4 linked regions of the Elephas maximus indicus genome follow. The protein of the gene in region 2 interacts with the protein of the main gene of each other region in a biochemical or structural test. Links are inferred from orthologs where the notes say so. Each region holds a gene or a part of one and is shown on either strand. Other genes may lie near its edges.

Region 1 (7,058 bases), on a different chromosome or scaffold from region 2:
TGGAGACCCTGCAGCTAGGGAAGGGGTCCCGAAATGCAGAGCCGAGTCTGGCCTCTGCCCCAGGAGCTGGTGAGAGTAACGTGGAAGAGTGAGAGCTGAGTAGGACAGCAGGCGAAGCCCTGTTTCCCTGGGTTCTTCTCCAGGTGTCCCCATTCCAGTTGCCGTCAAGTAGATTCCAACTCATGTTGACCCCGAGTGTGTCAGAGCAGAACCGTGATCCCTACAGTTTCTCATGGGTGATTTTTTTAGAGCTAGATCACCTGATCTTTCTTTCTAGGCACCTTTGGGTAGATTTGAACCTCTAACCTTTTGGTGAGCAGCTGAGCACACAAACCATTTATACATCCAGGGACTCTAAATTTCTCTACAGTGGCTGCCTTTGAGGTGCTGTCTTAGTCATCTAGTGCTGCTGTGACAGAAATATCACAAGTGATGGCTTTAACAAACAGAAGCTCATTCTCTCACAGTCTAGTAGGCTAGGGAGTCAGCTCCAGGGGAAGGCTTTGGTCTCTGTCAGCTCTGAAGGGAGGTAGGTCCTTAGTCATCAATCTTCCCCTGGACTAGCAGCTTCTCTGAGCAGAAACCCTGGGTCCAAAGGACATGCTCTGCTCCTGGCTCTGCTTTCTTGGAGGTAGGAGGTCCCCATGTCTCTCTGCTCACTTCTCTCTTTTAGATCTTAAAAGAGATTGGCTTAAGACACTCTCTAATCTTGTAGATCTCATCACTATGACTGCCCTAATCCATCTCATTAACATCATAGTGATAGGATTTATAACACGTAGGGAAATCACATCAGATGACAAAATGGTAGGCAGTCATACAATACTGGGACTCATGACCTAGCTAAATCGACAGATATTTTGGGGGGACACAATTCAATCCATGACAGGTGCTTATGATCTGAGACGAACCCTCACCGGGATGAGTCAAAGGAGGTGAATCACAGGTGTCCCCTCCAGCTGGCCCTGTCCACGCCTGGACACCCCCTCCAGCCTTGGGCTCTGTTCCTCCTCTCTCCTCTCCCCAGTGATCCTCATTTATTGCACTGAACTCTTGTACATCACTTCATGCCTGTTGTCTTTGTCATCTGAAAAGTCCTAACATACAATGTGTCACAATTGAACTCACCTCCTTACCCACAATGTCTTCATCACTCTAAAATGTCCTGCACGGTCACTTCCCACCCCCATCATCCCTCCTGGCTTCTACTCTCAAAAGTCACAGTAGCAAAGACCTCTCTCTCTGGATTTCATGCCTCAGTATAGGACATATCATTCCTCGTGTCCAGACCATCCTTCAGCCTTTCCTCCTTTCAGCGGCGTTTCCCTTCTTTCCTCTTTCCAACTGCCCAATTCTAACCAACTGGGTGCATCATATCCTCGTCCAGTTCCAGCCTTCCCTTTTTATTAGCTGTCTAGGATTTATGGCCATCTCTAATAAATGTGTGGCCGCATAATAGAAACAGAACATGTGTTTTGTATGGTTCATCTGGGTTTGCTTAGAGGCGTTTAGTCTGGCTCATGAAGTTAGCATGGTCAGATCCACGACTTCCACCACTACTACTGCTCTGTTCCTGTCGATGGCTCAAAGAGCTTTGTTCTCTTCACTCTTTTCCTGGCTTCGAGGGCCTTCCATCTCTGCCAGATCAAACTTCATCTCTTCCATCAAGCTTTCCCTCACTCTATCTGTCCTCAGGCATGTCTCTGTACCCTCATAGCACGTTACGCACTGTCCAACAAATAGCTCAGGTTTGCATCTAGCCTCATGTGACCCTGTGTCTATGTTTATTTATTTATGCATTCTTGTTTCTCCCATCAGACTCCTTGAGTCTAGTTACTCCCCACCCAAACACAAGGCTTGGGATAAGGAGTGAGCAGATGTTGAGAGACCCAGTAAGAGGTAGGAGGCTCTGAATCCCAAACCTGACACAGTAGGTGTCCACCACTAGGTAGCTGTGGTGTTATGAATTGAATTGTGTCCCTGAAAAATATGTGTTGTAAATCTTAACCTCTATACCTTAGGTTATAATCCCATTTGGGAATAGGTTTTCTTGGTTATGTCAATGAGGCAGTATTAGTGTAGGGTGTGTCTTAAGACAGTCTCTTTTGAGATATAACCTTAAGGGTAGTCCCTGACTTAAAACAACCAGGTGGTAAGTTGGTTCTGATGTAAATCAAATACCTTTTTCTTTTTTTAGTTTTCATTATTGTTGTACTTTATTATCAATATCTTTATAAATATGATCTTCAAACATCTGCCTGTGAACATCTGAGAAGAACATCAGCAAATTGTGTACTTCAACTTTGTGTGTAGTACCAAGATATAAAAAAAAAAAAAAGACTTCCTTTAAGTGTGGTACATCACAACTCATATACATCCTAAATTGGAGACTGCCTGTATAAAAGAGATTAAACAAACAAGGAAGCAAGCAGAGATGGGGAAAGAGAGATGCCAAGCCACATGAAGATCACCCAGGAGCAGAAGCTCAAAAGAGCAGACAAACAGACAAAGTCTTGTTCTAGAGCCAGCACCCTGAATTCAGACTTCTAGCCTCCTAAACTGTGAAAAAATAAATGTTCACTAAAGCCACTCATGTGTGGTATTTCTGTTATAGCAGCACTAGATAACTAGATAACTTTTTTTTTTTTTTAGATAACTAGGATAGGTGGATAGGTGGGGAATCAGACCATTCCTGAGGCTCTCTGTAACTCAGCTTTTTTTATCTTTAAAATGGAGATGTTGTCTGCTTTGCTTGGGAAAACATAAAAATATGAAACAGTTAACATGGTTAGCTGCTAGCCAAAAGATTGGTGGTTTGAGTCCACCCAACGGTGCCTCAGAAGAAAGGCCTGGCAATCAACGTCTAAAAAACCAGGCGTTGAAAACCCTATGGAGCACAGTTCTACTCTGACACATATGGGGTCACTGATCAGTTGGAACTGATTAGACAGCAGATGGTTTTTGGTTTTAGCAGCAGAGCGACCCTGGTTTCAAAACTGTCACCATCACATAATAGCAACATGACCTTTAACTTACTTCACTTCTCTGGACTCATTATCCCTACATTAAAAAAAAAAAAAAGGTGTTAAGCTACATTATAGGGTTCTCAAAGTGTGGTCGAGGGTCCCTAAGATTCTTTCAGAATGCGAAGTGCAAACCTGTTTGCAAAATAATATTCAGAAGCTATTTCCATCTTTCACTCTTATTTTCTCCTGAGTGTACCGTTGTTGTTGGGTGTCCTCTAATGGTTTCCAACTCATACTGACCTGATGTGACAAGCAGAACGGCCCCACAGGGTATCCTTGGCTATAATCTTTATAAAGCAGGTTTTTCTACCGTGGAGCCACTGGAACCGACAACTTTCGGTTAGCAGCCCGGTCGCTTAAGTTTTCAAAAGGCTATATGATCATCACTCTAATAATATCTTGTAGTGGATTTATTACTGTTATTTTTAAACGAATAAATATATTTAATTTTTTTCTTAGTTTTAATTTCTTAAAAGTAGATAGATATAACTCACATTAAAAAAAAAAGGGGGGGGTGGGTCTTTAAGGTCCTAATAATTAAAGAGTGTAGAGGGATTCAGACGCCAAAAACTCTGAGAAGCAGCGAACCGGATTTCTAGAAGATCTTCAAGGTCATTTATTCACTCAACAAATAATTGTCAAGCGCCTACTATAAAAAAAAATTTTTTTTTTTTTTACTATGGCCAGGCATTTTTTAGACACCGAGGATATAAGCTGGTGATGAAGACTCCAGACATGGCCCCTGCTCTGATGTTTATTTTGGGAGACAAGCTTTGGAAAGTGGTCCGTTTAGTGAAGGCCTAAAACAGGGCACGTGGTTCCTGCAGTCTGTGCGCCTAACGTGACACGGTAACAATAGGACTGCCCGACCCCCCCCCCAGTCACCTGGCGGGCTCCCCCGCTGCCCCAGGGCGGGGAGGCGGGGACTAAGGCCCCACCCCCGCGCCGACGAAGAGTGACGTCACCAGACCTCGCCAGCCAATCGTGGGCGGCCCCGAGCGGAGGCCCGGAGTAGCCCACGGCCTGCGGGTGGCGCTGTGGCCCGTCGGGCGGCCCCACGGAGCCGCCATAGCAGTCCTCCTCCGGCGGCCCAACGTCTCCGCCGCCGGCTTCGCGCCGCGGTCATGGCCGACGTGGAAGACGGCGAGGATTCCGGCGTCCTCTCCTCTCACTCCGGGAGCGCAGGCTCCAAGTCGGGGGGCGACAAAATGTTCTCCCTCAAGAAGTGGAACGCGGTGGCCATGTGGAGCTGGGACGTGGAGTGCGATACGTGCGCCATCTGCAGGGTCCAGGTGATGGGTAAGCGCTGCACGCGAGACGCGGGCCGCGCTGCGGCCTCCGCGGGCGGCCGGGCGGGCCCGAGGCCTCGGAAAGACCCCTGCCGGCGTGGGCGGGGGTCGGCCTGCCCCGGGGCGGTGGGACCCGGGCCACGCCGGTGCGGCTGCTGGTCCCAGGACGGTGGTCGCCTTCTCTGGGGCTGCCGGGTCGTCCAGCAGGCGCCCAGCGCCGGGTGCGGGGTTGGGGGGAGTATTCTAGCGAGGGAGGCCGGCAGTCAGCGAGTGGAAGAACAAACAAAAGTCGTTTCAAGTGGTTGTTGTTAGTTGCAGTGGAGTCCATTCAGACTCGTGGCGACTTCATGTTTGCAGAGTAGAACTGCTCCATAGAGTTTTCCAGGCTGTGAGCTTTCGGAAGCAGATCGCCAGGCCTTTCTTCCGAGGCGCCTCTACGTGGGCTTGAACCGCCAAACTTTAGGCTTGTAGTCGAGGACCAGGAGAATAAAATCGGGTGACTTAATGGGAGCTGGGAGGAACCGCCTCGGTTTGTGTGCCCAGCCCCAGTCCCATCTCTAAAAGCAAAACCGGAAAGGGGTCAGGGTAAAGGCCCTGATTCAGGAGAACTTTGATGGTTCTGGTCACACACCAAAGTGATACTCTAGAGTCATCTTCCACGTGAGCAACGCCCTCCGTCCTGCTCCTGAGAAGCGCAGAAAAGAGAAGTCTTCCCAGACATTGCGTTTCCGGATGAGGGCGAGTCGGATGGAATCGTTCGGCATGAAGGGAATACAGTGTAGTTCAAGAATGTTCGTGTTTCATGGGAATTGAGGACTCTAAGTCCGCTCTTCAGGGACAGTGCTTCTACTCCAATAATAAATGCATGTGGGCTAGAGAGGGAAAACGTGACCTCTGCCCTCCCTTCGCGCCTCCCCCGCCCCATCGTAGAATGCCATTTCCGAGATGTGCCCCCCTCTGACTCATGCCTTTGTGGAAAATCTCTTTCAGAAATACGTCTTAACCTCTTTCTGTGACATGTTCAATAAAAATATTGGACCAAGGGAAACCTGCAACAACTTAATCCGGTTTTATTTTATATGGTTTCGGTTTTAAGGTCTTCGACTACCTTGCAGCAGAGGTGCTGTTTAAATTTAAATGCAAGTTACGTTTGTAAATAGGGCATTTAAAATTACTGTCATAGCACCTTAAATGTTTCTTCGGGGTAGGTGAAAAAATCTGAGGTTTCTATGGTTTGAAAACTGGCTTGTCCTGAAAATGAGAGAATTGGAGAAAATAACTTAAAATTTCTTTTCCTTCAAAAACAAAAAAGAGTAGAACATGGTTATGTTTAATACATAACCTCTATCCGACCAAAACATCACGGTGAAATAAAGGGGGAAAAACATATTTCATGTGCAGTGCATGACTATGAAAAGGTAAACATAAAAAAAAACGTACTTAATCATAAATGAGCTCTCAGAAACAAGTAACAAAAACCTCAATTTATGTCCTCTTTTTTTTTTAGTATGCGTTTTTTATTCATAAGGGCTTGTTTCGAAAAGAATTTACAACACTGGGAATCAAAATGTTACTTTTTACTTTTGAAAAAACTTGATTTTAGACATGATCTGCTTACTTGGATGTTGGATTTAAAAGCATCTAGCTTGTTTGCCTGGAACACCCCTTCACCCCCACCCCTCCCCGCAGATACACACCTTACGTACTAGAATCACAGCTTCCCGTTGAGGTGACATTTTTAACTGATCCAAGCAACTTACACATCTCATCTTTTACAGAACAAGCTTTGCTAAAAATTTTATCCCATAGGTTTCCACTAGGGTAAAAAGAATTTATCTCTAAAAAAGCTGTTTTTTCCCAGAAGAAATTTTTAAAAATAGCAAATGGAAATGGAGAAACCTAAAATAATCAAAGTGCAACAAATAAATTTTACTGGTCTTTTTATAGTAGGTCAAAGTATGGGTTATAAATGGCTCAAATTCATCGTTAACTTTCCAATTACAGCAAGTATTCCGCTACTGCAGGAGTGATGCTGAAGGTTTGTAACAGCTCTACTTCGGGTTCAGGGACGTATTCTAGACTAGAGCTGTGTTTTGTTTATGAGGTGTTAATATCCACTTAGTGGACTGGTGACCCCAGAAAAAGTTTTAAAGACTTCCCAGTCCTTACCCCAGAGTCCTAAAAGGTGTTGCTATTATTGTACTCCTTAGAAATTTGCTGCTTTAGATACTAGAAATATTAAAGGACTTTTTTTCTTTTATCTGAAACTTTAGGAATTTTTGTTGATTTTGATTAATTTTTGATAATGAATCTAAACCAAAGCTGTAAGCATAATCCAAAGATTTTTACTTTGTGCAACAAGCGCCCACTTAATCCCATTTCTTTAATATTTGGAATTTATCTCAGACACATAAATGATGTAGTTTTGATCTCTTGCTCCAAGGTTTCCCGTCAGTCCTTTGTGACTTGGGTAACACTCTCTTCCTGGGTTCCACTCCCCTCCCTTCATCCTGAAAGGAGCAGATGGCACAGTCAGCAGATGCTGGTGAGGGAGAGGAGGAAGTTTGCTGGAAGAGCTACGTGATAAAGAGCTGAAGCAACCCCTTCGTGGCAATATGTTAATTTAGACGTTTGGCTTTACCTTTTGGAGTCTTATTTTCCTAACTGTAAATGAGGCAGTTGGGATCACCAAAGCCTCCCTTTACAGTTGTAAAATTCTCTGGTTCTGTGATAGCGCAGAATC
Region 2 (6,994 bases):
CTTTTTAGCATTCTGAAATATGTCAAATCATGCAAGAGATTAACCTTGGGCAAAGCACTCTTCCACGCCAGTCCTCAAATTCCTTCTTTGACAAATAAAGAGAAACTAGAATATCAGTGGTTCTCAACCTTCTTTCCATTCCAGCATATCTGAGGGATTCAACATCTCTCCATTTACAGCCGTGAGGCCAGTCTGGAAATATCCTACAGGTAATTCTGGTACACTACCCTAGAAGTTGTGCCCTGCCTCTGTCCTCTTGAGTCTTAGTACACTGGAGGGTTCTCTGAGGTTCTGCACAGTTCTAAAGTCTGACACTTTTGATACAGTAAGGAAAATTACAACCCAGTGACCTAAAAGTTATGACAGTGTTACTTTAACAGGCTTAAAAAGAAAAGGTCACAAGTTAGTAAACATCTTCATTTACGGGAATATGCAAGATTCAAATTTTTTTTTTTTTTTATAGTGATGGCCTCTAAGAGTGCTTTGTGACCATCCTCATGGCAAACAGCATATCTTACCCTGAATCAGCTTCTAATCCAGGAGGTGGGCAGAGAAGGGAGGAAGAGTAGGCAATCAATCAAAATAATTCCCCCCAGGTTTGAGGGAATGGTTTGAACATGCAAGTAATACAAAGGAGATTTGTGAAAGTTTATCTGTCTGATAACAGAAAAGTGAAGCCAAAGACAGACACATGGAGATGCGATGTTATGTGACCCCAAGCGTCTCCTTCAAAATAACAATCTGACACTGGTCTGACCTCAATTCTATGTAAATAATATTTTTGTAGAGGACAACTTTGTTATAAACTAGTAATAACTAATATTTACTAAAATTATGATGTGGGCATATGCCATATTAAAAATATAAATATAAGCCAAAAACACTGGCTCAGTATGGTAACTGACAAGAGTTACCCAGTGTGATATTTACAAATAGTACCCCTATTTCTTTGAGTATCCATTTATTGTGATTCTGCCGTAGTTAAAAGCTACGGTACATGCAATGTCATGTGAAAAATTCTCACAACTAAGAAAGAAGACTACTGAGTTTTAAAACCTCCTTCGGAAATGTATTTGATCCAAATATGAACCAATACACTACCGTGTAAGGTATGACAAAGGTGCTGACTAGAGTTTCAAAATTAGGGTTCTCTATATGGGAAAAAAAAAAATGTATAATTAAAAAAATGTATAATTACATCATCTTCAAATCTGAAAACATATTACTCAATAAATGCTGATTGCTATATGTTTTGTAGTGAGATGACCCTTAAATGCACAATCAATAACAGTGATTAACAGATTTAGTATCTGAACAACAACAGAAAAATGGCTGGGTCTAAAAGTTGCTGTCCTCTGGGCTTAAGGATGTGACTCAAGATACAATATGTATATCTCTATCACTGCTCTAGCATATATAACTAGTAACCAGCTGCCATTGAGTCAACTCTGATTCATGGTGACCCCATGTGTGTCAGAGTAGAACTGTATACCACAGGGTTTTCAGTGGTTGATCTTTCAGAAGTAAATCTCCAGGGATTTCTTCCCAAGGCACCTCTGGGTGGACTTGAACCTCCAACCTATCGTTAGCAGTTGAGTGCCTTAACCATTAGCTCCACCCAGAGACTCCAACATATACTACTGTTGTAGTGATTTATGGTCGAAAAGTTGATAAACATTCATTTACGAAACACGCTGTCTGTTGGCTTAACTTGCTGAATGCACTCCCCGTTTAAAAATAAATTAGCAGTGTTCCTAACAGGGACAATAACACCTAAAACTCGGGTTAGTGAACAGGCCAATAACCCAACAAGAAATAAAAGTGAACAGAAAGAAAACGCCCAAACCCCAGTTCAGTAACATATTCACATTTGAAACAGTAGCAATGAACAATATGCAAGTGAAGACAACTCCATGCACAGAACAGGGATGGGTAAACATTTGTTAAACGAATATACACATTTCTTCCTCATTCTATACCCATGTGTCAAAGCATCAAACAATTTAATTTGTGTCAGTTTCTGTTGTGTCTCGAACTTTACATATAAGTTTATCATGGGAAAAAAAAACCTGTTTGGCTTGAGTCACCGTGAATCACAGCCAGGAGGTCATCTTGTTGTGTACCAGCAACTATGTTTTCACTACAGCTATGTGACCTCAAGTGGCAGCAGCAGAGGTACCAAAATAGAAGGAGCAGGAGGAAAAGACTGGCTTCTCGGCCCCCAAATGGGCTTTTCCAGCCCATTCGGGCAACTGAGCAACAGCCAAACGCAGAGGAAAGAAAGAACAAATCCAACAGCTCAAAGGAGAAAGGCTGCAGGCCCACCACACCTTCCTAGCCCTCTCCAGGAGCCCGGAGAAGCAAGAACATAAAAGAGGCCGGGCATAAGAAACAGCGTGGAGAAAACAGCGTGACAGGAGCCAAAACTAGCCCGGTGTAGGGCAAAATCCAGCCGTGACCGTGAGGCACAGGTTTTTGGGAAGGTCTGGAGATCGAGGAGGATCTCCAGCCGTCGGCTTTGGGCGCAGCTCCCGAGCCAGCGCGCAGGGGGCTCCCTGTCCCCAGGCATCTCCAGGCACCAGGGACCTGCCCGGGCTCCCACCTCACCTGTCCGCTGCTCGCTGACCCCGCCGGCGCCGCCGACCCCTGGCCTCCTCCCCGGCCCACCCTCCCATCCCGTGCCCTCCCGGCGCGTCTCTCGGGACCCTCGGCCGGGTCTGCGTGGGCAGGGGGCCGATGCCCGCCCCGCCACCGCAGGCCCGGCCCGGGCACTCACTTTCTGAATCCGCTTCAGCGCCATGGGTCGGGGAGGGCGGCGGGGACACCGGCCAGCGGGGGGCGGCTGCGGGCTCGGGGGCGTGGGATGGTCGCGGGCTCGGCTCGCTGGCTGCTTGGCTGGCTCAGCCCGGTGGGTCCCCGGCTCGCCGTTCGCTGGCTTGCTGCGCGCGCCTGTGCCTGTACAGTGTGCGCCCGAGCGCGAGTGTGCGAGTGTGCGGGCGGGGACGCCGGCGAGACTCTTTTGTTTCCGCTTTTGCTTCTGGGAAGGAGCCTGCGTCCTCCCTGCCCGCGCCCCGCCCCGCCTGGCACACTGGGAAGTGTAGTTCTGCGCCCGCTGCTCCGCTGCCCAGGCTGCCCCCCAGGCGCTGGAGGGTGACTAACTGTTGACCTCAACAGCGAACCCTGGGGTTCTAGAGTTAGTCTCTATAGTTTGACTTGGAGCAAGTCACTTAATCTGGAGTTCTCCATTTGTAAAATGGGGGCTAACAAATGAGCCAGTAAAGCACTTACAGAAATTTAAAAATCTTGAGAAAGCTAATGCATTAGCCAGAATGTGCTACAGCTGATCTTGTTATCGTCACAGATTTCACTCTTCTAAAATATATGAATTGCCTCGATTTTTCACTCCACACATGCACAACTCGTGCCTATTAGATGACTTCTTACTTACCTACTTAGTTCCTAATGTCAGAGAAAAAAGGCGCCCTTTACGTCCAATGCTAATTCAGCATACGGCAATGGGTCTGGGTACTTTTCCCAAGCTCCTCCTTGAAAATTACCCCTTCAATTCTGAATTCTTCCCTTCAACCTCACCATTGGTTCCTTCCCTTCGTATTACAGTACCTGCTGAACAGTCCACTGACACTCCTTCCCTCAACACTAGGGACTTGTGTAACCATTAAAACTTGGCGTCTGCTCTCAGTCTAGTGGAATTAGTTTTCACCAGGATCACTCTTGAATTTCTAAGTACCAAATCCAATTCACTACTTATTCTTCGTGATGTTTTTGCAGCATTTAATTGCTGGCCATCCTTTTGCTTTTCAAAAGGCTCACTGCCTCTGGCTTCTATATATAGCCCCAAGATAGCTGGGTCTTCTCTGACTTTCCCTTTTCTGTCACTAACCAACAACACCAACCCGTTGCCGTGAGAGTCGGTTCGGACTCATGGTGACCCTATACGACAGAGTAAAACTGCCCCACAGGGTTTCCAAGAAGTGCCTGGTGGATTTGAACTGCCGACCTTTTGGTTCGCAGCCGTAGCACTTAACCACTATGCCACCAGGGTTTCCCATCCTAGTCCAGCAAAGTTTATTCTCAAGTCGCCAAATATACTGTTTGTATCCTTGGTAGCTCTTGATCACTATGCCACCAGGGTTTCCTTTCTGTCACTGTGCCCCAGAGTTCCAAGCCTCTATCCTCTTCACTGTCAGTATATTTCAAGGAGATAAACCTTTCCTAATTCCATGAACTAGAAGGCAGCGCAGGGTGGCTGGAGGAACATGGGGTTTGTAACGGAAGCACTACTACGGGTAGGAGCAGATTATCCAATAGGCAAGGTAAGCACGGGCTTACTTGTGCTTATTTACTTATCTGTAATGGTGAAACCCACGCGAAATTACTCACTACAGATTAGCAAGTAAGCGCAAGTAAACCCCGTGTAAACCCATGCTTGCTTTGCTTACTGGGTCATCGCTCCTGTCAGGGATTGTAAATCTGAAGAGACTTTGATTCTGTAGGAAGGTGCTGTGGGATTAGGAGAGAGACAGATGCCAGTCGCACCTAGAAGCAGAATCTTTGATGTTGTGAAAAAAAATGAAATTGTTCACTACAGATGATTTGGTAAACGAGGTAAGCTCTGTGCTTACTTTGCCTATTAAATAATCCACCCCTGATTCTGGGAAGAAATTCCCACTCTCACACCTACCAGCTGTGCTACCTTGGCCAAGCCATTTAAATGCTTTAAGCCTCAGTTTCCTCATCTTTCAGTAGAGATAATAATCTCTAGATATATTATTGTAGGAATTAATTGGCATTAATAGATGTAAAGTGCCCAACATAGTGCCTGATATATTGAAAGTGCTCTCTATATATTATTTCCTTACTTGTTTTAATCTATATGGTGATGACTATAAAATCTCTTTCCAGCCCGTTCTCTCACACCAGTTTAAGTCTCACATTTCCAAAAGCCTACTGGACATTTCTGCCTTCCTGCCCTGCGGCCAGGAGTCAGAGTCTGTTACTAGAAGGTGAGAGTGGGGAGAGCTTTCCAGGAAGCCAAAATCAATATTTACCATAGCTCACAAAGAACAAGGAACAGAAATCCACTCAAGTAACTTAAAATAAAAAAGTCCAGGGGAGTAAGGTTTTGGAAGAATGATAGAAACAATCAATTAATGGGACCTGAAACTTAACTTGGAAGCTGCTCCCCCCTCCAAAAAACTAAGGGAAGTCTGGGGCCTGGCTACTCTCTTACTTTCCTTTTCATCCTCCTTGCTTCTTTCGGCACACTGGCCCTGCCCTCCTCTTTCTAGCACCTGCCTAGTTTCTGTTACACAGGTTTTAGACTTGCCACAGCCGTTTCTCTACTCTGTTGATACTCTTTCAGTAACTGCCCCGATGCTAAATGGCCAAGCCTTTTAGTATTCCCTAGTTCATATCCGCAAAAGAATCTCATTGGAACAATTCATTATTTTACTCCAGGCTGTAAGTTGTAGCCATTACCTGTCAGTTTGTTGTGCTGTGGTAGGTTTCATATTGCTATGGTTATTATGCTGGAAATTATGCCATCATTTTTTTCAAATACCAGTAGGGTCACTCATGGTAGACGGGTTTTACCAGAGCTTCCAGACTAAGACAGAGTAGGAAGAAAGGCCTGGAGATGTACTTCCTAAAATTAGTTGATGAAAACCCTATGTATCACAACAGCATATTGTCTGATATACCATAATGCTGGAAGATGAGCCATTTAGGTTGGAAAGCACTAAAAATACACAGTGGCCACAACAATTCACTTGAGCATTCCAATGATCATGAAGATGGCGCAGACCAGGCAATATTTTGTTTTGTTGTTCATGCGGTTGCCATGAGTTGGAGCCCACTTGACAGCAACTAACAATGACAAGTTGTTAAGTAGTGGACAAACTATAGGTTGATTGCCATTGTGTTAGGTGGCTACATATTGTTCTATCAGCTTTGTTCGATGTTTGGAAGTACTGTTGGGAAAAGGGACTTCCAGAGAATATCAGGGAAGTCTTATCTCCTACAGAGAGGTGTATCTGGACTATCTTGATGTACCATTTTTGTACTCCAGAGAAAGGGACCCTAAGTAGTTATTCCTTTTTGTAGGGGAGCATGTCCTTGTAAGTGAGGGTCCAACGGTCTAGACATGGGCGGCAGTGGCTTTGCGGAGTTGCATTCCTATGCTGAGAGTCTTGGGATATTATATGGGAAGTAAGGTCATATCCAGCCTCCACCAGTATGAGAAAGCAGTAGTTGCAGGTAACCCATTGCAAGCTAACTCAGAAAAAACTTCCAGGGTCATTCAGTGGACAATTTTGGTCATCTCTTCATAGACAACAAAAATACACATTCAAGTAGGGGCTATGAATAGGGAGGTTTCATTCGAAAGGCAGTAAGAGCCCAAGACAACAGCATCAATTTCTCCCTACTCCAGGCTATCCTACGTGCACACACATCGCGTCATTCCATTGCTTAAAACAATCTCTACTGGATTGTATCATGGAAGTCCAATGCCTCAGCTTAGTGCAAAAGGCCCATAACAATTGGGCCCCAAACTCCTTTTCATCTTTAGCTCCACACATTCCAATTAATTAATTCCATGTGCCTTTGCACACTGCATTCTCTCTGCATAGAATGACCTACCACCATTCACCCGACAAATGTACACACGATTTTCCAGATCCAACTCGAACATTACATGCTCTGATATTCTCTTCTACCTATTCCCCGATGTGGGTTTATTAGTATTTATATTATTCTTTTAATTCCAGAAGCAATATGTCCATACTTTAGAGATATTCTTTTGTTGACTATCTCATTAGACCGTAAATTCTAAGAAAATATAGAAAATGTCTTACTTTTTTTTTAGTGAAGTAAACTTTACATAATGAACTACACAGATCTAAATATAATATTTGATGAGTTTTCACAAATAGATATACCTATGTAACAACAACCACAATCAAGCTATAAAACA
Region 3 (7,224 bases), on a different chromosome or scaffold from region 2:
CCATTGAGGTTTTGGATTTTTCTATTTTTTTAATTATTTATATGTCTTAGGCTATGTTATTAAATGAATACAAAATTAGAAGCTATATATTCCTGGAAAACTGTAATTTTAATGTTTATATAGCATTCTTCATTTCTGTCCATGAATAACATTAACTTTGTCTTTGCATTTGGTTAACATTCTCCCATCCTATTACTTCCAGTGTTTCTGTATGCTTGTATTTGTGTAAACAACATAGTTTCATCCCAATTTTCATCAAGTATGATAATCTGACTTTTAGTTTTATACTGTTTTCAGTTAGCCTAATTAAGATATGTTATAAATTTTCTGTATTAGTATTGTATTTAGCTTTTTGTCCTAAACTTCATTCTTTTATCATTCCATTCCTGTATTCTGAACGATTTCAGTACTTTTTATTTTTCTACTTTCCTCTTTATAATCTTGTACTTATATTTTTAAAACTTTTGTCAAAAGTCCCTTGTTTGGAAAGGCTAGGGATAAAATATTGAACACAAAGAACTGCATGTCTGAGGTCATGACTGTGCTATTACAGAGGACAATGAGATGACACTAAACGCCACAGGGACATGCATTTCTAATTGCCAAAGTCATGCTTCGTATGTCCTTTAAGATCTGTGTCTGTCACATTTGGCCAACTTCACTTGAATTGTTTCATTAGATGCTAATAACTGACACCTGTACGGTACAGAAGGACTATTCACACACTTTGCACTCACACAATAGCCAATCCTGTTGCTCTTTGTTCTTCAGCTTACAGCTCTGCATTTATTTTATTATGTAAACACAATTATGTTCACATGTATGTTCTTGAATATATATTTCAAATACACTACTTTCATACAGACATACATGCAGACATATATATATTTCTTAAAGATATACTTTCTAATATAAATAATTTTCACTTCAAGTTAACAGGATAAAAACATGTAAACATATGCACTTGATTCAAGTAAAACACGAAACCACAAAATAACTGCAATATCATCAGTGCACTTGACAAGGGATGACAGAAGGGACAGGCATGTAAACAAAGAAAAATATGCAGCTGCGCCACAAGATCACACAATGATCCATTTGGTCAGTTAAGACTCCTCCTTTTACCCTGTCACAGTTATTCTTGAGAGACTTCAAAATGAGTGTAGAAATTCTGTAAACACTAACCTAGAACTGAGTGTATCTTGTTGAAAAAAGAGATTACAAGATAAACTGACAGCAATAATCATTTCACTGAACAGTAATTTTAAAGACTTTTGTTACTTTTTAACACGGCAAAACACCATAATCCTAGCGGGAAAGATAAGAGGAATGGGTAAGAAAACAGAAAGGGACACTGTACAAAAACTGTCACAACAGCCCCTGAAAGTGACAGATGGGTCTGTAAAAGGAACACAGGCAAAATAGCAGAGAAGAGGGCCTCTACAGACTAGACCACATGCCACAGCACGATGCTACGGAATCAAATTGAAATACTTTTCAAGCTCAAAAAGAAGCAACTCCCACTGGTAATCAGAAAAGGGGACTTTATAATTCCCCGTGGAAAGGAGATACTTAAACAACACCTTGGCCAGGCGAAGCCTGATAAGCTCCTTTTCATTGATCTTAAAGGACACGCTGCCCTCCACAAGCTGATTCCAGTAAGTGCTGGAAGTTCCAGCATCCTGCTTTTGGGATTCTTCTCTTTGACGCTCAGGGTTAACATGCCTGTAAAAACAGTGGTTCCCAAAAGGGCACCGATCTCTGCTTTCCATAAAATACCTGCAAGGCTTTTTGCTCATTGCTTTCTTGTAGTCCTTAATCAGCTGCTTCTTCTTTGCCTCATCCTCCACCCAGAACTCACTGGGAATAACAAGGTGGGAGGTGACCCTGCACTGTGGGCACGACTTGACGACCCTGTTTTGAAACTGTGTGGCTTTCCTCCACACACGGATACACCTCAGGCAGTAGGAGTGGTTGCAGTTGGAGAGGATGCCAAAGCGGCGAAGGCCGGCGCTGGGTTTCTCATAGACAATCTCCATGCAGATGCCACACACCTTGTCCATACTGCTCTGCACGGCAAAAGAGAACTCCATATTCCTCTCGTGCGCTTCTATACAGGCCCTTACGTGCTCTGCTCTCTGGGCTTCATTCACGGGGTGCAGAGCCTGCAGCCCACACATGTCGCACACCTCTCCGTGGAGATACATACAGTTCTCCCCATCAGGGCATTCTCCCACGGCAGCGTACTGGCAGAGCGGTTCCTCTGGCGCCACCGAGATCCGTGCCGAAGCCTGCGGGGCAGGCAGCGCCCAGCGGCCCCGGTAAGGCTGCCCCGGAACAAACTCAACAGCATCCGCCCAGGTTGCCGCAACTGCTCCGGCTGCTTGGCCGCCGGCATTCCCGCTCTCCGTTTCAAAAGCTGAGCCAATCAGCGGCAAGTTGTGACCGGAAGTACCAGGGGAAGCTCCCGCCACTTCCGGAGTCGAGGCCTCCACTTCCGCAGCCGCGCTAGGACCGCCGTCTGCAGGGTCCCGGAGCCCCGAATCGGGACCCTGGCTAGCCGGCTGCCGACCTGAGAGGTCGTGGGAGTAGCGGCACTTCTCCCCTTGCTTGCACGACCCATGTAAATGATACCTGCAGGTCACTAGCTTTGTCCAGGTTCCGACGCCGCGGTCCGGCACCCGTAAGGGCCCGGCCCCTCCCCCTGCACTCTGGACAGGCCGTAAGCCTCTCGCACGTCTAGGGACCGACCTTAGTGCCTCTGCAGGCTCCCCGGAGGCCGCGGACGCCGGTAGGCCGGAACCGCGGGCATCTCCCCCTTCCGCCCCGGCACCTGCCTCGGCACCGGGGGTCCTGGGGGCTTCTGAGGGAGCTGCAGACTCTCTCATGGCCTCCAGGGGGCTGAAAGTTACCAGGATGCCCCACCCCGGCGAGCCTTCCCTTCGGGCGAGAGGCCGGGCGGCCTCTTGGGCCGCCGGTTCTCTTCTCTAGGCGGTCCGTCACTTTCCGTCGTCCCCCTTGCTCCCAGCTCCCTATGACTATGAGTTCCTACGTACTTCCGTTCGCCAGCGAGGCGGACACTTCCTGTGGTGGCGCCGCTTCTGCTTTACCTAGTCTCTACTGCAGGCGTTTTCGGCAGACTTCCGGTTTTTTTCCACCGTGATAGTTTTGCGGCGCCTCGGCTATTTTCACGGCCTTGGCCCTGTTCGGCGCTTTGTCAGTCTCAGATGCGTCCCCCCGTCCCAAGTTCCGCTTATCGCATTGTCTCCTTTGGTGGATATAATCAAAACACTTTGAGGTTTTATATCGCTTCTATTTTTCATTCACGACAGCTGGTGGCGCAGTAGTTGAGCTCTGGGCTGGTAACCAAAAGATTTCCTTAATGGGAACCCACCAGCAGACCCCAAGCAGCTCCGCGGGAGAAAGATGTGGCCATTTGCGACAGCCTTGGAAACCCCATGGGGCAGTTCTAGCTTCACAAGGGGGTTGGAGAATCATTACCAGCATCAACAGCCTGAGGCAGGTTGCTTTGACGTGGAAGTCAAACCTACCTCCACCCTCCAACTTTTTGCCTAGTGCTGACACCAGCTGTTCCTCTCATGGGACTCTCTACTTCTCTGCTGTGTTTGATAAATGGTTTCAGTGGCCACACAGAAGTCTGTAAAGACTACAGCCTTGGAAACCCTATGGGGAAGTTCTGCTCTGTCCTATGGGGTGTCTCTCTAAAGCGTAACTTTGAGTCAGATGATTTTGTGGTTTTGATTTTATTTGACCAGAATCAGGTGCATATGTTTACATGTTTTATCCTGTTTAGCTTGACATAGAAATTATTTATGGGTAATGGATTTGATTTTTGGCTTTGAGTATTTTTCACTCATTCAGGTTTTTTTAAATATCTTTTTAAAATCACAAACCCTTATTTATATTTAAAAGTTCTTCTCATAGTTTCTGCAACATTTCATCCATGATTTTTATAAATTCTGTTTCTGTTCACTCATGCCCATTAGTTTGTTTTGTTTTGTTGTCTGATAATTCTCACTGCTTTAACCTTTTGTTTTGTTCCGTGGACAAAATTATTTCTTTTAGTTCCTAATGGCTGGAATTTTTTTTTTCCGTTTATAGATGCAAACAGTTTTCATTAGTGAGGCACTAGTAGGGAGCACTTTGAATCTTAGGCAACTTTTAGCACCTGTATTGTGATTTCTAATTTTCACTTCCCGGCTGTGCCCCAGACTTCTTCCAGTCCTAAGGCTGGCCTTTTAAGCCTCTGTCCCCTGAGTGATCCTGGCTTTTATTTTTGCTCGGCTGGTTTAATTCATCATAGCCCTTTATTTCCATTCCTTTTTCTCTTTCTTTTGAATCTCCTAATTCACCCAGCTTTGTGCTGTATTGTGGCAGAACAGCCTTCAGAACTTTGACTCTACTATACATCGGGCAAGTGGTGCTTTTTAATTTCCATATGTGTGAGCTCTTTGTCATTTTGTAGATACGTTTTATTAATGAACTTGTTTTCTATTACTACTTTGCTGAGAGTAGTTATTATGAATGTATACTGAATACTAATTTTCTGTGAATATTGATAGATGATCATTTTTTTAGTCTTCATTGTCTTAATGTGATTATTGACACATAGATTTTCACATATTAGCTTGACATTTTTACTAAGAATAAAGCTTTGCTGTGATGATGTGTCTTTCTCTTGTATATCATTGAATTTTATTGGCCAAAACAAGTTTCTTACAGGGAATTTTATAGCCTAAATTTAAATTTTAAAGTGAGAGAAAGTCTGACTATTTCTGATATAATCATCTAGGTCAATAATTTAAATCCTAATTAAGTAGATGGAGACGAGGCAAAGAGATGGAAAGTGTAGAAATGGCATGATGTCAGGGTCAGACCTCCTTCTCTAACTTCACAAGGGGGTTGGAGAATCATTACCAGCATCAACGGCCTGAGGCTGGTTGCTTTGAGGTGGAAGTCAAACCTACCTCCACCCTCCAACGTTTTTGCCAGTGCTGACACCAGCTGTTCCTCTCATGGTACTCTGTACTTCTCTGCTGTGTTTGATAAATCGTTTCAGTGGCCACACAGAATTCTGTAAAGACTACAGCCTTGGAAACCCTGTGGAGAAGTTCTACTTTATCCTGTAGGGTGTCTCTCTAAAGGGTAGCTTTGAGTCAGATGATTTTGTGGTTTTGTGTTTTATTTGACCAGAATCGGGCACATATGTTTACATGTTTTATCCTGTTTAAGATTGACATGAAAATTGTTTATGTGTAGTGGGTTTGGCTTTTGGTTTTGAGTATTTTTCATTCATTCAGGGTTTTTTTTAATATCTGTTTTTAAAACCACAAACCCTTGTTATACTTAAAAGTTCATCTCATAGTTTCTGCAACATTTCATCCATGATTTTTATAAATTCTGTTTCTGTTCACTCATCTTATGTCCATTAGTTTTTTGTTTGCTTGTTTTGTTTTGTTTTTTGTCTGAAAATTCTCACTGCTTTAACCTTTTGTTATGTTGTTTCATGGACAAAATTATTTCTTCTGGTTCCTAGTGGTTGGAATTTTTTTTTTTCATTTATAGTTGGAAACACTTTTCATTAGTGAGGCACTAGCAGGAGGCACTTTGTATGTTAGGCCACTTCAGCACCTTTATTGTGATTTCTAATTTTCACTTCCCTGCTGTGCAGGAGCCCCAGACTTCTGCTAGTCGTAAGGCTGGCTTCTTAAGCCGCTGCCCAGTGAGTGATGCTGGCTTTTATTTTCGCTCGACTGGTTTAACTCATGGCAGCCCTTTGTTTCCATTTATTTTTTCTCCTTCTTTTGAATCTTCTAATTCACCCAGCTTTGTACTGTATTGTGTTAGAACAGGTTTCCAGAATGTTGACTCTACTATACATGGGGCAAGTGGTGCTTTTTAATTTCCATATATGTGAGCTCTTTGTCATTTTGTAGATACGTTTTATTAATGAACTTGTTTTCTATTACTACTTTGCTGAGAGTAGTTATTATGAATGTATACTGAATACTAATTTTCTGTGAATATTGATAGATGATCTTTTTTTAGTCTTCATTGTCTCAATGTGATTATTGACACAAAGATTTTCACATATTAGCTTAACATTTTTACTAAGAATAAAGCTTTGCTGTGATGATGTGTCTTCCTCTTGTATATCATTGAATTTTATTGGCCAAAACAAGTTTCTTACAGGGAATTTTATAGCCTAAATTTAAATTTTAAAGTGAGAGAAAGTCTGACTATTTCTGATATAATCATCTAGGTCAATAATTTAAATCCTAATTAAGTAGATGGAGACGAGGAAAAGAGATGGAAAGTGTAGAAATGACATGATGTCAGGGTCAGACCTCCTTCTCTAACTTCACAAGGGGGTTGGAGAATCATTACCAGCATCAACGGCCTGAGGGTGATTCCTTTGAGGTGGAAGTCAAACCTACCTCCACCCTCCAACGTTTTTGCCAGTGCTGACACCAGCTGTTCCTCTCATGGTACTCTGTACTTCTCTGCTGTGTTTGATAAATCGTTTCAGTGGCCACACAGAATTCTGTAAAGACTACAGCCTTGGAAACCCTGTGGAGGAGTTCTACCTTTATCCTGTAGGGTGTCTCTCTAAAGGGTAGCTTTGAGTCAGATGATTTTGTGGTTTTGTGTTTTATTTGACCAGAATCGGGCACATATGTTTACATGTTTTATCCTGTTTAAGATTGACATGAAAATTGTTTATGTGTAGTGGGTTTGGCTTTTGGTTTTGAGTATTTTTCATTCATTCAGGGTTTTTTTTAATACCTATTTTTAAAACCACAAACCCTTGTTATACTTAAAAGTTCATCTCATAGTTTCTGCAACATTTCATCCATGATTTTTATAAATTCTGTTTCTGTTCACTCATCTTATGTCCATTAGTTTGTTTTTTTGTTTTGTTTTTTTTGTCTGATAATTCTCACTGTTTTAACCTTTTGTTGTTTTGTTCCGTGGACAAAATTATTTCTTCTGGTCCTTAATGTTTTGAATTTTGTTTTTTTAGTTTATAGTTGGAAACACTTTTCATTAGTGAGGCACTAGCAGGGAGCACTTTGAGTCTTAGGCTACTTTTAGCACCTGTATTATGATTTCCAATTTTCACTTCCCTGCTGTGCAGGAGCCTCAGACTTCTAGTCCTGAGGCTGGCCTCCTAAGCCTCTGTCCCCCGAGTGATTCTGGCTT
Region 4 (6,915 bases), on a different chromosome or scaffold from region 2:
AGAAATGGCTTCTTGCACTGATGGGAGTAGGAGGTGAATTCAGGAGGGATCTCCGCTTATTTTGAGCATCAACTAGACACATGCTGTCCGATATGGCAGCCAGGCCACATGTGGCTACTGAGCACTTGAAATGTAGCTAGTACTATGAGGAACTGAGTTTTTTAACTTATTGAATTTTGACAAATTTAAATTTAAAAACTGAAGGAGTGTAAAATACTTTTTCCATCAAACACAACTTTATTGATTTGGTAGGACTACGTTTTACTTCAGCCATTGAAAATTTAGCAGTTGAATTGAGATGGTGCTGAGGTGTAAAATGTGTGCCAGATTTCAAAACTCAGTATAAAAAATGTAAAATATCTCATCAATACTTTTAAGTATTGTTGTTGATTTAAATCATAATACTTCGGATATAGTGGGTTATATGAAATATATTATTAAAATTAATTTCACCTGTTTCTTTTTATCTCTTTCAATGTGGCTACTAGAAAAAAAAAGTTCAATTACATATGTGGCTTGCAATATATTTCTAAATTACATATGTGACTAGCATTGTATTTGTATTGGACAGTGCTGTGCCAGAGGTAAAATGATTGGGATGATCTCAGTATTACTAATTGAAAGATTGGTGGTTCAAACCCAATCAGAGATGCCTAGGATCTGCTTCCAAAAGGTCACAGCCTTCAAAACCCTGTGGACCACAGTTCTACTCTACACATATGGGGTTGCCATGAGTCAGAATCAACTCGACAGCAACTAACAAAAACAACAAGCAGTATTCTGCCAGGTGGTCACGCTCTGACCTGTGACTAGGGATGGGCTGGTCCCTCTCTGCAGCTTCTCCCCCAAGGGATTCTCACCGAGAGCATCTCACGGGGTGACATTTGCTGCTTGGCCTTCAGGAAATCAACAAGCCTATTGAGAGAGTTCAGCTGTGCCTCAGTGGAAGTGCCAAAGAAGTGACCCCCGTTCTCTCCCTCCTGAGCCAGCCAGTCCAGTCGTAACAGGAGAAACTTCTCCTCTTCCTCTAGAACCTGACGCAGGTGCTTGAATTCTCTGATGATCCTTTGTTTTTCATGCTCCACCTGGGCCTGGGGGCGAGGAGAATGGACACTCAGAAGACAGGATGGCCTCAGAGGCTCTCACCCATCTCATCCAATTTGCAATTTTATTGTTTACACTTACGTTGTCAATGTAGAACAATGTTCCATGGCAGATTTGGAAAAAGAAAGTTGAGGAGAACTAACTTATTTTAGCATTTACTATGAGCTCAGTTTTAGGGTAACTTATTTAATGTTTAATCATTTTTGCCTTCAAGGGCCTGAGTCTTTAAAATTATCTTGCATTTTCAATTTATAATCTCCTTTCACACACACACTCACCCACCCACACACACACACACACACACAAAACAGGTAAAGAGGTTGGGTGGAGTTACACTGTCTTCATTTTTTAACTGGGGAGTCAGTCTCTAGGTAAAGACAGTAGGTAAGAGGCAGAAGTAGGTATTTAAATTGGTATTTCTGATGCTAACACCAGCCCGTTTTCCCTACATCACTATCTCCAGGTGGAGGAGACTGGAGTGTTTGACCTACTCTAATAACGCAAGGCCAGGTGCAAAGGTGCTATCGCAGACAAGCAAATGTTGTGGTAGAGGAGAAGGCATGAACACATCCTAAACCATGATGCCTCAAGTCTTTCTGTACCTCCAGCCTGCCCATCCTACACTCTGCCCCACTCTGAGCCACTCTGTTTGTCACTGGGTCTTTTTCTGGGTGGTGAGTGTAATAAGAGATTCTAGGGGCTTGAAAGAGAAGATGTATCTGCTTCCAAGGACCGTTGGACAGAGAGACCCACACCTGAGCATTTTCTTACCTTGAAGACATCGATCTTCCGTTCGCCTTGTGCTTTCACCTCTACTATCATCTTCTCCTTTTGCTGCAAGTCCTTGAGTTGTAATTGAATTAGTCCCTGTGGGGAAAGGACAATTTTCCTAAGCTGTGCCTGGGAGCTCTCTTGGCCTCACAAAACCTCCTGATCTCTCGGGAAGGTGGGTGAGACTGGGGGGAGCTGGGAGCTGGTTATGATAGGGAGGAAGAAATCTGGGGCCTCAGTGACCTACAGGAGAAGAATGTGTCATCTGTGAATAATTACAATTAATATCTGAATGGTGCCTTGGGGTTAATAAAGGATTTCCCTCATTTGTTCTATCAGACTGCCTTATAAAGGTAAATTCTGTTCTGTTGGCCCCATTTGAAAGCTGAGACAGGCTCAGAGAAGTAAAGTGACTCCTTGAATGTCTTATGGAAAACTCAGGAGCTTGGACTTGAGCCCGAACCTTCTGATTCAAAATTTTTTGCCTTTTCCATTTTTCATTATGGTTTGACTTCAAAACACTTCAGACTTTTGAACTAAATGGTATGCCAGAGATGATGAGATCCCTAGAGTGCCCACCCTGCCTGACTCTGAACTGCCCACTCAAGTGTATGGGGCGGGGGTGGTAGTAGTGCAAACCCAGAGGAAAGAAGTAACCATTCCCATGTCCTCACCGAGCTCCTGGTCTGATGGGCGAGACAGGAAAGGGACCCAAAATGCTTACCTGATACTTTGGGGCAGCTTCTTCTATCAAGTTGGCTTTGTGGGATTTGTGGTCCTGGGAGTCACGACACACTGTACAGAGAAACTTCCCATCATGCTCACAGAAGTAATGGATCTTCTCTTGGTGCTTCTGACATCTTGGTTCTTCCCTTTCTGGTTGTGCCTCAAGGGGACTCATAGCTTGGATTTTCTCTACCAGATTCATCAACAGCCAGTTGGGCCTCAGCGTGTCCTTCCTCACAGATTTCTTGCAAAGGGGACATTTGAGTAAACCGTCTGATGGATCCTGTGTCCAACTGATACAGCTGAGGCAGAAACTGTGCCCGCAGTCGATGGTGACAGCGTCCTGCAGAATATCTATGCAGATGGGGCAGATCACTTCCTCCTGCAGGTTACTGACAAACTGTGGACTGGCCATGATGAAGCAGGAGGGCTTCTTCTGGTCTGTACGAAGTCGTACCAGGTCTGCAGGAAGGTTTCTCTGAGCTGCGGGGAGATGGGTTGTGGACACTGGTTTGAGCAAGGGAGAAGGAAGGAGAGGAGAAGGGAGGGGGGGGAAAGGGGGATAAAAGAGTAAACGAATAAAAAAAGAGTAAGAATTAGAATGTAGAGAATATTTTAAAGAGAGAGAACAGATGGGCCAATCTACCTTACTACTTCTTGAGATCAAATGGATATATACTGCTTATCAGGTTGGGCAATTTGTTCTGAACCTTGAACTAATTAAAGATACAAGGCAGTTAACTGATTCCTAAAAGACCATGGTACCGAAGTCCACAGGACAGAAGACTTCCTGTCAGTTTCAGCAGGGCGTGGAGAGGCTGGGTGAGGCCTTTGGAGGTCACACATGTTGGGACCGTTCAGCTGGTTCACTAGCCATGGCTTTGGACATCTCTTGTCTGCAGAGCCCAGATGTTGGGAGAGCACATGGAAAGGAAAAACCAGTTGCTGGAGAGTGGATTCTGGCTCGTGGTAACCCAACATGTGTCAGAGTAGAACTGTGCCCCCTCAGGGTTTCCAGTGGCTGATTTTCAGAAGTAGATCACAGGCCTTTCTTCTGAGGCATCTCTGGGTGGACTCAAGCCGCCAACCTTTCAGTTAGCAGATAAATGTGTTCACCATTTGCACCACCTAGGGACTCCATATGGAGAGGAGGGAAGGATTCTTTACCTCAGTCAGGTACTTTGGCTGCTCACTTTGAAGAGTTTTCTGAAACTAGGGAAGATAGCCACCTCAGGGAATTTCTAGTCACAAGGAAAAAGCCACCATCCCTCTCATGGGGAGATTCCTGGTCCAGTGGGAAAACAAGAAATTTATTGCAAGTCCATTCTCTTGATTTGTACATTGTTCTTGACCCTAATGGATCCTTACTTCCGTGTAGCACCTGAACCAGTCTGTCCTTTGTTGTCGTTTCCTGTATGTCATAAATATGCTGGTGTCTCCATGCCCATTCTTTGTTTTCACTAGAAAAGGACATTATCTTTGGGAAAGTGGAGGGTCGGTGAAAATGAGGGAAACCCTGAATGAGATGGATTGACACAATAGCCACAACGATGGACTCAAACCTATCAACTGTCATGGGGATGGCATAGGACCCAGCAACATTTCGTTCTGTTATACTTAAGGTCATCATGAGTCAGAGCTAACTCCATAGCAACAACAATAACAATGTTTAATGTATCTGTATTTCTTCCTGATTCTTGTTGCTTCTCTGATCCCTGAATTGCCTTGGCCTATGCCTTCTGTCCTGACTAGGAAATTTATTAACTAGCATCATCTGTACTCCCTTCTGTAACTCAACACAATTGTGTCCTAACCTTTCCTCCTTCCCACTTGTCTTCATCTGGATTCCGACTTCTAACCAACCTCTGTTCTCTCCAGCATCTGCCCTCTGTCCTTACCAGGAAGTAACCATTAATTTCATTGGATATCAATATTAGGTCAAACAGAGATTGCAGATGATTATAAGATTATAGCCAGATACATTCTGATTTGTCTGGGACAGCCCCTGGTTTCATTGTCCTGGAGTAATTATTAATACCTTCTCCGTTCATTCTCAAAATGTTCAGTTCACACAATAAATTATATCGTTGTCCTAATTATAGCAATTGCTGAAAGTCAAAGAATTTCTGAAAGTCTATTCCTCCAGGCTTTTCTGTTTGTTTGCTTTGAGGATGAATTAAAGCATCTTAACATTTGTATAATGATTTACTGTTTATACACATCCTAAACTGCTGGCCCCTGGAAGCAGAATTTAACTTTTGGACAGGTTTTGTTTGTCAGGCATGGTGACTGAAAAAATAACCATAATTCTGATGCCTTTAGAGAGGAGATCTATTTTCCCCACCACCCCCTAGCTCCTTAGATCATGTCAGTTAGGCCCATGGGAGTATTGGACCTTATGATCCTGCTTTACATATTTCTTCTGCATGTATTCTGAGTGTGTTACATCGCAAACGTAATTCTCACCGCTAAGTCCAATGTATCAGTAATCATCAGCAATATAAATATATTAAGATAGCCTTTAAAAGACAGAGATTATGAGATTATAGCTCATATATATACATATATAGCAAAACCCATTGCCGACGAGTCATTCCAACTTGTAGGGACATTATAGGGCAGAGTACAACTGCCCTGTAGGGTTTCCAAGAAGAAGCTGGTGAATTTTAACTGCCAAGCTTTTGGTGCCACCAGGGCCCCGCATATGTATGTAAAAAAAAAAAAAAGGTTTTTTTTTTTTTTTTAAATTATGTCACTGTAATTCAAAGGTGTCCATTCTTCTATCTTCCTTATTCATTGTCCAGCTTTCCCATGCATATGAGGTGATAGAAAATACCATGACTTGGATCAGGCACACCTTAGTCCTCAAAGTGTCATCTTTGCTTTATAAAACTTTAAAGAGGTCTTTTGCAGCATATGTATCTTTTTAAAATTTAGCTGTATGCTGATTATAAGAAACAAAGTTAAAATGAAATGAAGTCTAGAAATAAAGGGATGATAAAAGACGTAGGAAAATATTAACTCACATCTGCCCAACAACAGGAATGTCAGACAAAATAAAATTTAAGATAAAAAGCATGAAATAAAGAGGGGCAGTGAGTTTATGTTCATGGGGGAGGAACAACTCAGAAAATGAGGGTGAGAATGGCTGCACAATTCAGAGAATGTAATCAACGCCACTGAATTGTACATGTAGAAATTGTTGAATCAGCCTATGTTCTTCTGTATAGATTCTCAACAAAAACAACAAAAGTAAAATAATTCATTAAACAAATAAAGACGAACACTCCATGTTGTCAAAAAGGAAAAATCTTCAAGAAGACATGACGATCATGAACTTCGTGGACCTCCCTAAAAACATAGCCTCAAATGACATAAAGCAAAAACCAAGACAAGTACAAGTGAAATGGACAAATCCACAATATGGAGAGATTTTTATCACCTCTTTTAGAAATTGAAAGATGACACAGAGACAGAATTTTTAAAGATATAGAAAATTTGAGCAACATAACTTGATCAGATATTTTTACATAGGATTTTATACTCAACAAAGAGATAACGTGTTGTTTTCCAGTGTGCATGGATCACTCAAAGAACTGATTACCCTCTAGGACATAAAGAAGTCTCGACAAAAAGTATTTCTATGATGCAGATCATATTCTCTATAATTTAAATAAAAATGAGCAAAAACACAAAAAAGATAATTCGAACAAAAACTCACTCATATGTTTGCAAACTAAAACATAAGCTCTTAATACATGGCTTAAAGTGGAAATTATGATGGAAATTACGAAATATTCAGTAGTGAGTGACAAAGGCAATCCTCTGTATCACAATTTGTGGGATTAATTAAGGTGGTACTGGGAGGGACATTTATAAGTTAACGTGAAATTTCTAAAAAAAATAAAATGCTAAATATAAATGAATTAAGAGTTTAAAATAAAGAACTGGAAAAAGGTAACTCAAAGGAAGTAAAAAACCAAAACCAAACCCCGTGCCGTTAAGTTGATTCCGACTCATAGCAACCCTATAGGACAGAGTAGAACTGCCCCATAGAGTTTCCAAGGAGTGCCTGGCAGACTGGAACTGCAGACCCTTTGGTTAGCAGCCATAGCACTTAACCACTATGCCACCAGGGTTTCCAAAGGAAGTAAAAGGAAAGAAATTAAAAGCAGTTATTTTTTTATTATTAACAAAATTTATTTTATTTTATTTTTTTATTGTGCTTTAAGTGAAAGTTTACAAATCAAGCCAGTCTCCCATACAAAAATTTATATACACCTTGCTATGTACTCCTACTTGCTCTCCCTCAAT

Evidence for each region.
Region 1: the proteins of UBE2D1 (region 2) and RNF7 form a complex in vitro, tested with the Homo sapiens proteins (11 studies listed by BioGRID). The link is inferred for Elephas maximus indicus from reciprocal best matches to the Homo sapiens genes UBE2D1 and RNF7.
Region 3: the proteins of UBE2D1 (region 2) and MKRN3 form a complex in vitro, tested with the Homo sapiens proteins (2 studies listed by BioGRID). The link is inferred for Elephas maximus indicus from reciprocal best matches to the Homo sapiens genes UBE2D1 and MKRN3.
Region 4: the proteins of UBE2D1 (region 2) and TRIM31 form a complex in vitro, tested with the Homo sapiens proteins (4 studies listed by BioGRID). The link is inferred for Elephas maximus indicus from reciprocal best matches to the Homo sapiens genes UBE2D1 and TRIM31.

The regions. Positions count from the first base shown.
Region 1 is NC_064841.1:17,958,351-17,965,408, reverse strand, and holds the start of RNF7 (RING-box protein 2), read left to right. Parts: upstream 1-4,043; 5' UTR 4,044-4,150; coding exon 4,151-4,325; intron 4,326-7,058. UniProt on the Homo sapiens protein: Catalytic component of multiple cullin-5-RING E3 ubiquitin-protein ligase complexes (ECS complexes), which mediate the ubiquitination and subsequent proteasomal degradation of target proteins.
Region 2 is NC_064834.1:29,993,535-30,000,528, forward strand, and holds the start of UBE2D1 (ubiquitin-conjugating enzyme E2 D1), read right to left. Parts: upstream 3,019-6,994; 5' UTR 2,801-3,018; coding exon 2,777-2,800; intron 1-2,776.
Region 3 is NC_064831.1:99,037,847-99,045,070, reverse strand, and holds MKRN3 (probable E3 ubiquitin-protein ligase makorin-3), read right to left. Parts: upstream 3,004-7,224; 5' UTR 2,889-3,003; coding exon 1,473-2,888; 3' UTR 487-1,472; downstream 1-486. UniProt on the Homo sapiens protein: E3 ubiquitin ligase catalyzing the covalent attachment of ubiquitin moieties onto substrate proteins.
Region 4 is NC_064819.1:89,764,171-89,771,085, forward strand, and holds the start of TRIM31 (E3 ubiquitin-protein ligase TRIM31), read right to left. Parts: upstream 3,017-6,915; coding exon 2,600-3,016; intron 1,972-2,599; coding exon 1,876-1,971; intron 1,092-1,875; coding exon 861-1,091; intron 1-860.